Linked DNA regions of Neurospora crassa OR74A. The protein of the gene in region 2 purifies or fractionates together with the protein of the main gene of each other region. This does not show direct contact. Links are inferred from orthologs where the notes say so. Each region holds a gene or a part of one and is shown on either strand. Other genes may lie near its edges.

Region 1 (4,435 bases), about 1.4 Mb from region 2:
CGGCCTTGTTGATGAGGTCGATGGTATCTTGGATCGCCTCGGCGGTGTGGCTGCCTGGGAGAATCCAGGTCGAGTCGGGGGTCTCGTCGAGAGTAGGCGTGAGACGCTCCATACCGACTAGACGCATGAGAAGACGGAGGTGCGGGTTCTTGAACATGGCTGTGCGGCGAGCCTCGGTATCAGGGCGGATCGTGATATGTGGTGGTGCTGATTTGTTGGATCTCTCGTCGGCAGCTTCACCATCAGCCGCCCCCTCGGTAGTGGCTGCCATGGCCTTGTCTACGTTCTCCCATGCTTGCCGCTCACTCATTGCACTTGTCAGCTGATCCTTGAGCCACTGCAGATGCTCGACTTGCTGTTTGTCGATGAGTACGCTGACCGCAATGCCAATCTGCTCGTCGCGCTCTGTGGCTCGCTTGAACTCCAGCTCGGCACCAGGTCGTGGCGTAGTTGTGGTGACAGGCTTCTCATAGCCGTGCTCAAGGAAGTGCGTCGTGCTGCCAATCTTGGAAAAGAGCAACTCGGTGAACAACGCAGGCCGCTCTTGAAGCTTTTTGACACATTTCCGAATGATCTGCTTGGAGAGCTCCTCCCATTCCTTGAACATCGGCGAGCTTTTGTCGAGGGGCTCGGGACCTTGGACCATGTTGTAAAAGAGATTGATGATGTCTAGTCGGAATAGCATGATGCTCAGCTCGAGTTTGAAGGCAACGCGGTAGAAGTAGCGATGAGCGCGCTTCAGCTGTGCGTCGTTCAAATCCCGGTAGAATTTGGTGAAGGCGACAAATGTGTCGACAACACCCTGGGGAGCGAATCGAATGGCGAATTTCCCAAACTCGAACTTGCGCTCCTGAGTGACCCGCTCTGCATGTTGCTCATCGTCCCCAGAATCATCGGCATCATTGTCCTCGGGAACGCCAACGTCTTCTGCTTCCTCACCGGCGGCTCTAGCTGCAGCAACAGCAGCAGCAGCTTTGGCAGCCTTCTTCTTTCGGCGAGCTCGCTTCCGTGAGCGCACCTGCAAATCGACATTTTGCTTAGAGTAACCTTCTAAAATGCGGAGGAAAGTGTGGACAAGCTCGGTCGCGGCATCAAGATATTCGAAGCCTTGATCCTTGTATGTTCGAGCAATATTCGCGATAAGGTCGTGGGTTGTCTCCTCGTAAAAGAGACGGCTCAGGGTGTTTTCGGCAATCTCCTGGTCTTCCTCGTTGGGAGACTCTGACATCTCCTGGACTGTGAGGAAGATCTGGGTGTAACAGCGCATGACGGACGTGAGCAGTTGCCAATCCTTATCACTATAGGACCGGTCAAGCGCACGATTCATGGAAGCGAACATTTCCTGTTGGAGCACAGCAGCAACGAGGTTAAAACTGTTCACCTCCTCTCCGGCTGCGGACGTCGACTTCGACTCGTCCCTCTTGGCCTTTCTCCGCATCCGCTCGGCTTCGAGGAACCAGGCGACAAGGTAAAAGAACTGGCTCTTATGCTGGTTCAATGCATGCAATGCCTCCCGATCGATCGATTGCCTCACGTGCAGAAACAAGGGGTTGAAACCGGAGTCGAGGAAGTCTTGGACGAATGATCGCAGCTGCTGACGAGCTCTTTCATCTAGCGTCACCGGAGGGCCAAGGTCCTTGGGCTCCATCTCGGGTTTCCTCGCTCTTCTTGGCGGTCTGAATGTTTTGGAGTTATCCATCTTCCTCTCTCGCGTTTTTGCGTCCAAAAGAGCCTCTTGGCCAGATACCGTCACCATCTTGCCATCTGCTCGTTTCACCCAGATCATGGTCCCAAATCGACTGTGCCGAGTGGTGGTGGTTTTGTTGTAGGATTTTAGCATAGCAGCCTCCTTGCGCATCTCCGATGCCAGCTCTTGCCCCTTGGCTTTGTTGAGTTGCTTTTCACTGACGAAGAGCGAGCTGGGGTCAACTCTTTTTACAAGATGAAAGATGATTTCCATGATAACTACATCTTCGGTGCGGAAGTCCTCGCCCATGTTGGAGGCAAGGGTCAGCAGAGTGAGAAATATGTCTTGATACGAAAAGGCATCAATGGTTGCCGACCTGGATACCTGTGTCTCGTCGCCTTCGCATTTGACACCTTGCGGGGGTGCGATCATGGCAACGTTCCTCAAAAAGAAGAGAATGAGCTTGATGATGGCCTGGTCACGGGGTGTCCGCTCGCCGATAGGCATGGCCATGGAGGGAAGGGCTACCCTGACGGCGGTGTTGAGGATGGGTATCGCATCGAAGTTTATGATGGCGCGCTTGTAGCCAAGCTGGGCAAGCTGCAGAACGGGCATGTGACGATGGTGGTTGATGGTCATTTCGGCGCGCTCCTTCTCTATGGGCCAAGTAAGGGGCACCATGACCTCGAAACACGCCAGAGCAATACGGGCCTTGTACTTGCTGTCGGTTTCGCTTTGAGGCCATAATGTCAGGATCTGGAGCAGATCGCCGCCGACGAGGTTCGCTTCAGCCAGACATCTGGCGACGTCCATGCGATTGGTCTTTTCATCGTAGAATCGGATCCATTTCTTCAGGTCGCGCAAGACGTCTAGCGCTTCGTCACCGAGCTTGTAGCTTCCATCATCGTCCGCGCTGTAACCACCGAGCTATTCGGGTCGCCAGAGTCAGTACATCCGTGTATATAACGAGTCCAGAAGTGGACATACCGCAGAAACCAGGTTGGTGATGTGCGCCCGCACTTCCGGATGGACGACATCGTCGTTGATGTCTGCGGCCTCCATTTTGCGCAGAAATCACGGCGTCCAAGACCAGAACGGAGTCATACGAGTACTAGACAGACTCTCCCCAACTCTCAGCTTGTCTTGGAGGTCGTTTTGTTATCGCATGGATGGTGGCATTGGTCGGGCGCACTTTGTCGGGACGGGACACGCGTTTGTGGTGGTGGGAGACGCGCCGACCGTGTCGTACTTTTTAATGGAAATTGGTGGTATCTTGGTCTTGGCCTGCTTATCTCCCCAAGCGTTTTGTCGGACTGTTTTAAGATACCTGGGTAAGTAGGTACCTAATGTACCTAGCTACCTACTAGAGATACCTCTGCAGCAGTACCTGTGCACCCCGATTTCGACCTCGTGGAGAGCTGCGGAGTTACCCCTGTGGACGGGCAATCAACGACAGCCGAGGATCTTGAGTTGGCGCGGGAATCATGCCCGCAATTGCCCCCCCTGAACGACATGCTTGTACCTCTAGGTAGCGTACATAGTACTCCATACGCGCTAAAACCGACCCCATTTTCCCCGCCTAAGAAAAGGCTAGAGCCGCCCGTAGCTCCTGTACGGCAGTATGTTATGTCCCCCCCGTGGCCCGGGTCGGGCTTGTGACGTCGAGTTGGAGACGAGGACGGCCGAGGTTAACCGAATCCGACAACTTCACATCGTCGCATTCGCATTCTCTAGAGGTGCCCTGGTTGCCTACCTAGGTGTAGTCTTCCGATTTTTCTGTCCCTTTCCTTTCAGTCTCTCTCAGTCACAGTGTCTGCTTTGTTTACTTTCGCCGTGACGATCTCGCAAAATGCTTGCTAGAACCCTCGTCCAGAAGCTGCCCATGGGCGCTCGCGCCTTCAGCTCGACATGCGCCCGCAACGCTGCCGAGGTCAAGAGGCTCGGTGTCGTTGGCGCCGGCCAGATGGTGAGTCCGGCCCATATCATTCATGCCCATGTCTTCAACAACGGCAACGGCTGACTTGTCCTCCTTCTCCTTTAGGGCCTGGGCATCGCCCTCGTCGCCGCCACCAAGGCCAGAGTCCCCGTCACCCTTGTGGATGCCTCTGAAACGTCTCTAGACAAGGGCCTTGCATTCGCCGACAAGCTCCTCAGCAAGGATGTGGCCAAGCAACGCATCACTCAGGATGAGGCGGACGCCGCCCGCGCGCTCCTCCAGCCCACCACCATCCTCGAGGACCTGGACAGCGTCGATTTTGTGATTGAAGCTGTGCCTGAGATTCCCAAGCTCAAGTTCGACATCTTCTCCAAGCTGGCCGAGATCTGCCCTAAGCACGCCATCTTAGCCACCAACACCTCTTCCATCTCCATCACGCGCATCGCCGCCTCAACCACCAAGGACCCCAACGACACCTCCAACAGCTCGCGCGTCGTGTCCACGCACTTCATGAACCCCGTGCCCGTTCAGAAGGGAGTCGAGATCATCAGCGGTCTGCAGACCAGTCAGGAGACGCTTGACACGGCCGTCGAGTTTTGCAAGAAGCTGGGCAAGATCCCTTCCATCTCCAAGGACAGCCCGGGATTCTTGGCTAACCGCATCTTGATGCCTTACATCAATGAGGCCATTATCTGCCTGGAGACTGGCGTTGGCGACCGTGACTCTATCGATGCTATTATGAAGAACGGCACCAACGTGCCTATGGGCCCCCTCCAGCTGGCTGACTTTATCGGTCTCGATACCTGTTTGGC
Region 2 (4,689 bases):
AGCTTTGAACATTTGTCCCTTTAACCTTATATCAGACTTGAGATGGGACGAAATGGAGAACGGCTTGCTGACCACATGATGAAACTGCAGATATTTGTTCGGGGACCTTCCGTCTCTGGTGGCGAGGCAGCGCTGGGCGTGGCTGGCTATATGAGGGATGATAACACACTGGCATATGCTTAAAAAGACGGGGTAGGACACGTTCCATCAATGATCGATGAATGGTAGCCTGTATGCAGGAATGCTCTTATTGAATGAATGAGCAGGGAGTTTGAGGCTGGGAGTGGAATACCTTCCCTCGGAAGATTACGAAATAGACGCATCTTCAAGGTTTCGGGTAACCAAAGACCAGACAAATCTGAACCGCAATGACATTCAGGGCATTGAGAATACTAAACTGCAGCAAGATCATCGAATGTGTGTCTTCTAGCTGGCCGTTGAAAACTGTGACAGACAAAATATCTACCATGTCAGACCCAAATAAAATTGGAAGAGCCCCCCTTACGCCCATTGCCATGAAACCCCATATTGTACTTGTTAACCTGTACACCCAAAGAAAAATAAAATAGCAGAGCAAGAACGCTTCGGTTTTGCTTTTCTTTTCTCTTTTTTTCGTCGGAACATCTTCGAAAAACACTCCGTCATTTCCCCACCATCCCTTCTACGCGCCATTCCTATAAACCTGCGCGCCCTGGTTCCTAAACATAATGGTATCCCGCCTCTGCAACATCATCAGCGCCCTATTCAGCGCCACCTCGCTAAACCCTTTACCCTCCACCATTTCCCTGCGCAGGGTCGCCAAGCTGGTGCTCCAGCCGATGGGCAAGCGGCGCTTCAGCTCGGCCTCGACGCGGGACGTCTCCTCGTTCAACTCCCGATTGCTGCCCGTGCTGCCACCTTGGTTGACGGCGTCCATGGTCGAGCACAGGAATAGCCGGATGGCCTCGTCCACGTGCTTCTCCGTCGCGACGGGCGAGAGCGTCAGCTTGGCGAGCGACTCGGTGATGCGCACAATGGCTTCGAGCTGGCGGACCGTGATGGGAATCGAGGAGCGCGCGTTGGCTTCAAGCTCTGAGGCGTGCACTTGCTTGCGGATGGCGACGAAGTGCGAGGAGAGCTTCTCGGCGGCTTCCGGAGAGAGGCGCGGGGCGCAGCGGCTGGAGGAGCGACAATGTCAGTTTTTATGTGTCTAAGGTGGTAGATAGGAGCATAAACAACTTACGATCGGCAATAGCTGATGTACCGCCTCATCTTCTCGACCGGGATCTCTGCCTCAATCCGCTCCTCGACACCACGACCACCCATATGGATACCCATAACGTGCTTGGCGATGCGCTCATCACGGCCGCGCTCGTGCTCATCCTTGACGATGAAGATCATGTCGAAACGCGACAAGATGGTGGTCTGAAAGTCGATGTTCTCGCCCGGGGTCTTCATGTCGTCGTAGCGGCCAAAGATGGGGTTAGCGGCGGCCAAGACCGAAGTTCGAGCATTGAGGATCGTGGTGATGCCGGCCTTGGCGATGGAAATGGTTTGTTGCTCCATAGCTTCGTGTATTGCCACTCTGTCCTCATCGCGCATCTTGTCGAACTCATCGATACAGACGACACCGCCGTCAGCGAGAACCATGGCACCGCCTTCGAGGTAGAACTCGCGCGTGGAAGCGTCACGCTGGACGGAAGCCGTCAAACCGGCGGCGGAGGAACCCTTGCCGGAGGTGTAGATGGCGATAGGAGCGACTTTTTCGACGAACTTGAGCAGTTGTGACTTGGCCGTACCGGGATCACCAAGCATGAGGACGTTGATATCACCACGAAGCCTCATGCCATCTGGAAGGATCTTCTTGGAGCCACCCATGAGTAAACAGAGGATAGCCTTTTTGATATCCTTATTTCCATAGATGGACGGCGCGATGCATTCGGCCATGACATTGTAGAGATCTGGACGACGGCTAAGCTCAAGGAACTCCTGCTCTTCCTCCTCGGAAAAGACAGCCAGACCCTTGGCTGTTTGGTCAATGTCTGTCTGGATACCGACTGCGCGGAGATAGGGTGTGCGAATGGCGACGGCGCCGCTTGTGGACTTCTTGTTGCCTCCACTTTGGTATATAGAAAAAATACCCATGACGGTACACCTTGAGCCGGGCACCACGCGGTTCGTGAGGTAGCGGTCGGCGGAAATCAGGACATGGCGGGGCAGTTCACCGACGGGAACTTGGTCTGGAGCTTCCTGAAGCTTGATAATTTGCTGATCGACGAATCTGGACTTTTCATGTTGTACAAAGTAGGGATCCATTGGGCACTTCTCGCCAGGGTCCCCAGGTGCCCTGATTCTGCCACATGTCCTGGGAAGGGTAGCGCCACTGAAGCCGCCGGATACGTGAACGTGTTGGACGTGGCCGCAGTTGCGGCACTGGACGTGGAGCTCAGTCGCCTTGGACGACATTACCGAGGCACCAATGACGATACCAGGTACCCGGACCAGCCGGGAGATTGTAAGGGAGTCGAGGTTACGGATAGAAACATCTTCGGCGTTGGAGTGTAGAAGCAGTTGGTGGTCGGGCAGGTCTATCTTGGGTTCGTTTGGGAAGACGATTCGGTGTGTGCAGCGCTTCAGAGCGGCCTCGAACAGAGGGATAATCTCGGCGGGTTCGGTGACTAGTCTATGGGCAATTTCTTCATTGAATTTGATCAAGTCGCCAATGTTGACATCGCAGTAGTATTTCTTTAGAAGGGCATTTTCTCGTAGTTGGTCTCTGGAAGGAGTAATGTTAACAGGAAGCTCGACAGAGGACAGGAGTATGCTACACAGAGTACGAACCTGTAGATAAAGCTGTTATCTAGTCGGAAGTCGAGAATGAAAGCCTCGAGCTGGGCGCGAATGTGCTGGTTGCTGTCCTCCTCTGGTACATATGAAGAAGCAGCGCCGGCGTAGGTCCGGGCTGAGAAGACGGACTGATAATCCATAGCTGACGGTGGCTTGGTATGTGATTGTTTTGTTTACTCGCGTGCACTGGCCGTAGATGTTCGCACCGGGAGAATTGTAGAAAATAGCAGAGAAGGGAGGGGTTGTTGGGGGCAGAAAGACAACTAACAGAGGGAGAATCCAAAATGGCAAAACATGTGCGAAAACCGCGACGCGAGAAACATTGATACTGCACACCCAAGACGCGATTTTTGGCAGGGGTTTTAATGGGCACCCCACTTGTAGCTGAATGGCAGGTACCTGACGGCTCAGCAGGCAGGCCCCCTGAAGTGCGGAGGAAAAGGAGTGCTTAAAAGGATATCCAGCTAGGGGGGGTTCACCCTCCAGACACTTTTGCAGCAACCGGTGCAAGACCCAGCTTTGTGGCCCGCTCAAATACATACCACAGTATACTTACTGCGTAGGTAATCATCAGTGGCGGGCGGAGCTTCATTCAACTGCGCTACGTATCCCGAACAAGGGTCCTGTGGGATCCAATGCCCGCTGCGTGGCTTCCGCTGTGAATTGGGGGGACCTTGACATTCGACAGGCAGCTCCGAGTCCCTGACCTCAACACCTGCTCGCGTCGAGACTACAGCTTTGCGCCTCTTCTTGGCCATCTTCTGTGGAAAATACAATCTGGTTCTTGTCTTGTTCTCGTTTCGCTATGATACCCCCGTGACCCTTCGCAGTAACCGCCCATACTCTGGACCACGATAGCCTCAACGCCACCTACCTTGGTTGCTTCCCTTGGCCTGCCGGCCCGCGCCTACAGCTCGATAGACTAATACCGATTACCGAACCCCCTCCCCATCTTCCCACGTCGCCAATCCACCGGCGCATGACCAACGGCCATTTCGTCTTCCCCTGAGCTTAGGCCTAGGACTTCCGGGAGACTTATGAGCCATCATGTTCTCCAACCAGGGTGCTCGCAAGTCGGTCGATAGTCTTTCGCCAATACCCGATGCCGGGCGGTTTGGCGACTTTCCTTTCCACGGGTGCGATGCGCTTTGTCTGTCCATGCCCTTTCCGTAATATACACTAACATCTCCTTGAAGGAGAGGCTCACGCAGTCCGAGCCGCCCGTTCCATTCTCGACGGGATTCGACGGCGGGCTCCATACACTCCATCGGTGGCTCTCTCGACAGTTCCACTGGTACCTGGGGTGACGCCGTCCTAGAGTCCGGTCAGAACGCCATCTCAACCCTGCTCCAACCGCCCATAGTCCGAACCGGCCTCCTTCCCCATACCTCAGCACCCGCTTCCACTGCGCATAAGCCTCCGACTGCTCGAGACATTCCACCTGTCACGCTCACCAATGTCCCTCGCATTGACAATTCCGAATTCACACAATATCTCACCCAAGTCGGCGCGTTATACGAACAATTACGACGGGTTCAGGCAGACGAAGAAGAGGCATCTGGTACTCACAGCAGACGAGGTAGCAAGGCGGACGCAACCTCAGCCGAGGATGGCCACCTACGACCGGGCAAACGATCTGGCGCATCCAGGAGGGCATCCAGCTCATCCATTACGTCCATATCATCGATAGAAGCCCCGGGTCCCGCTCGACGCAGCTCAAGCTACAGGAAAGCGGCATCGCAAGGTCCTCCACCATTATCCACCATTCCCGTGGTATACTTTGACGAAGACTTTCACCTCGAGAACCCCCGAACTTTCGATGTCGTCAGTGAGCGATCCGAAGTGGTACGACCCGCGCCGGGA

The links.
Region 1: the proteins of NCU01171 (region 2) and NCU09552 purify together in Saccharomyces cerevisiae (affinity purification with mass spectrometry; 3 studies listed by BioGRID). This does not show direct contact. The link is inferred for Neurospora crassa OR74A from reciprocal best matches to the Saccharomyces cerevisiae genes MCM5 and TOF1.

Annotation. Positions count from the first base shown.
Region 1 is NC_026505.1:4,564,034-4,568,468, forward strand, and holds the start of NCU09552 (topoisomerase 1-associated factor 1), read right to left. Parts: upstream 2,919-4,435; 5' UTR 2,750-2,918; coding exon 2,675-2,749; intron 2,615-2,674; coding exon 1-2,614. Other genes in the region: NCU09553 (3-hydroxybutyryl CoA dehydrogenase), read left to right, coding at 3,537-3,653, 3,729-4,435. UniProt on the Saccharomyces cerevisiae protein: Forms a fork protection complex (FPC) with CSM3 and which is required for chromosome segregation during meiosis and DNA damage repair. FPC coordinates leading and lagging strand synthesis and moves with the replication fork.
Region 2 is NC_026505.1:3,118,735-3,123,423, forward strand, and holds NCU01171 (DNA replication licensing factor mcm5), read right to left. Parts: upstream 3,186-4,689; 5' UTR 2,967-3,185; coding exon 2,821-2,966; intron 2,756-2,820; coding exon 1,223-2,755; intron 1,158-1,222; coding exon 662-1,157; 3' UTR 349-661; downstream 1-348. Other genes in the region: NCU01170 (hypothetical protein), read left to right, coding at 91-183; NCU01172 (GARP complex component), read left to right, coding at 3,874-3,962, 4,023-4,689. UniProt on the Saccharomyces cerevisiae protein: Acts as a component of the MCM2-7 complex (MCM complex) which is the putative replicative helicase essential for 'once per cell cycle' DNA replication initiation and elongation in eukaryotic cells.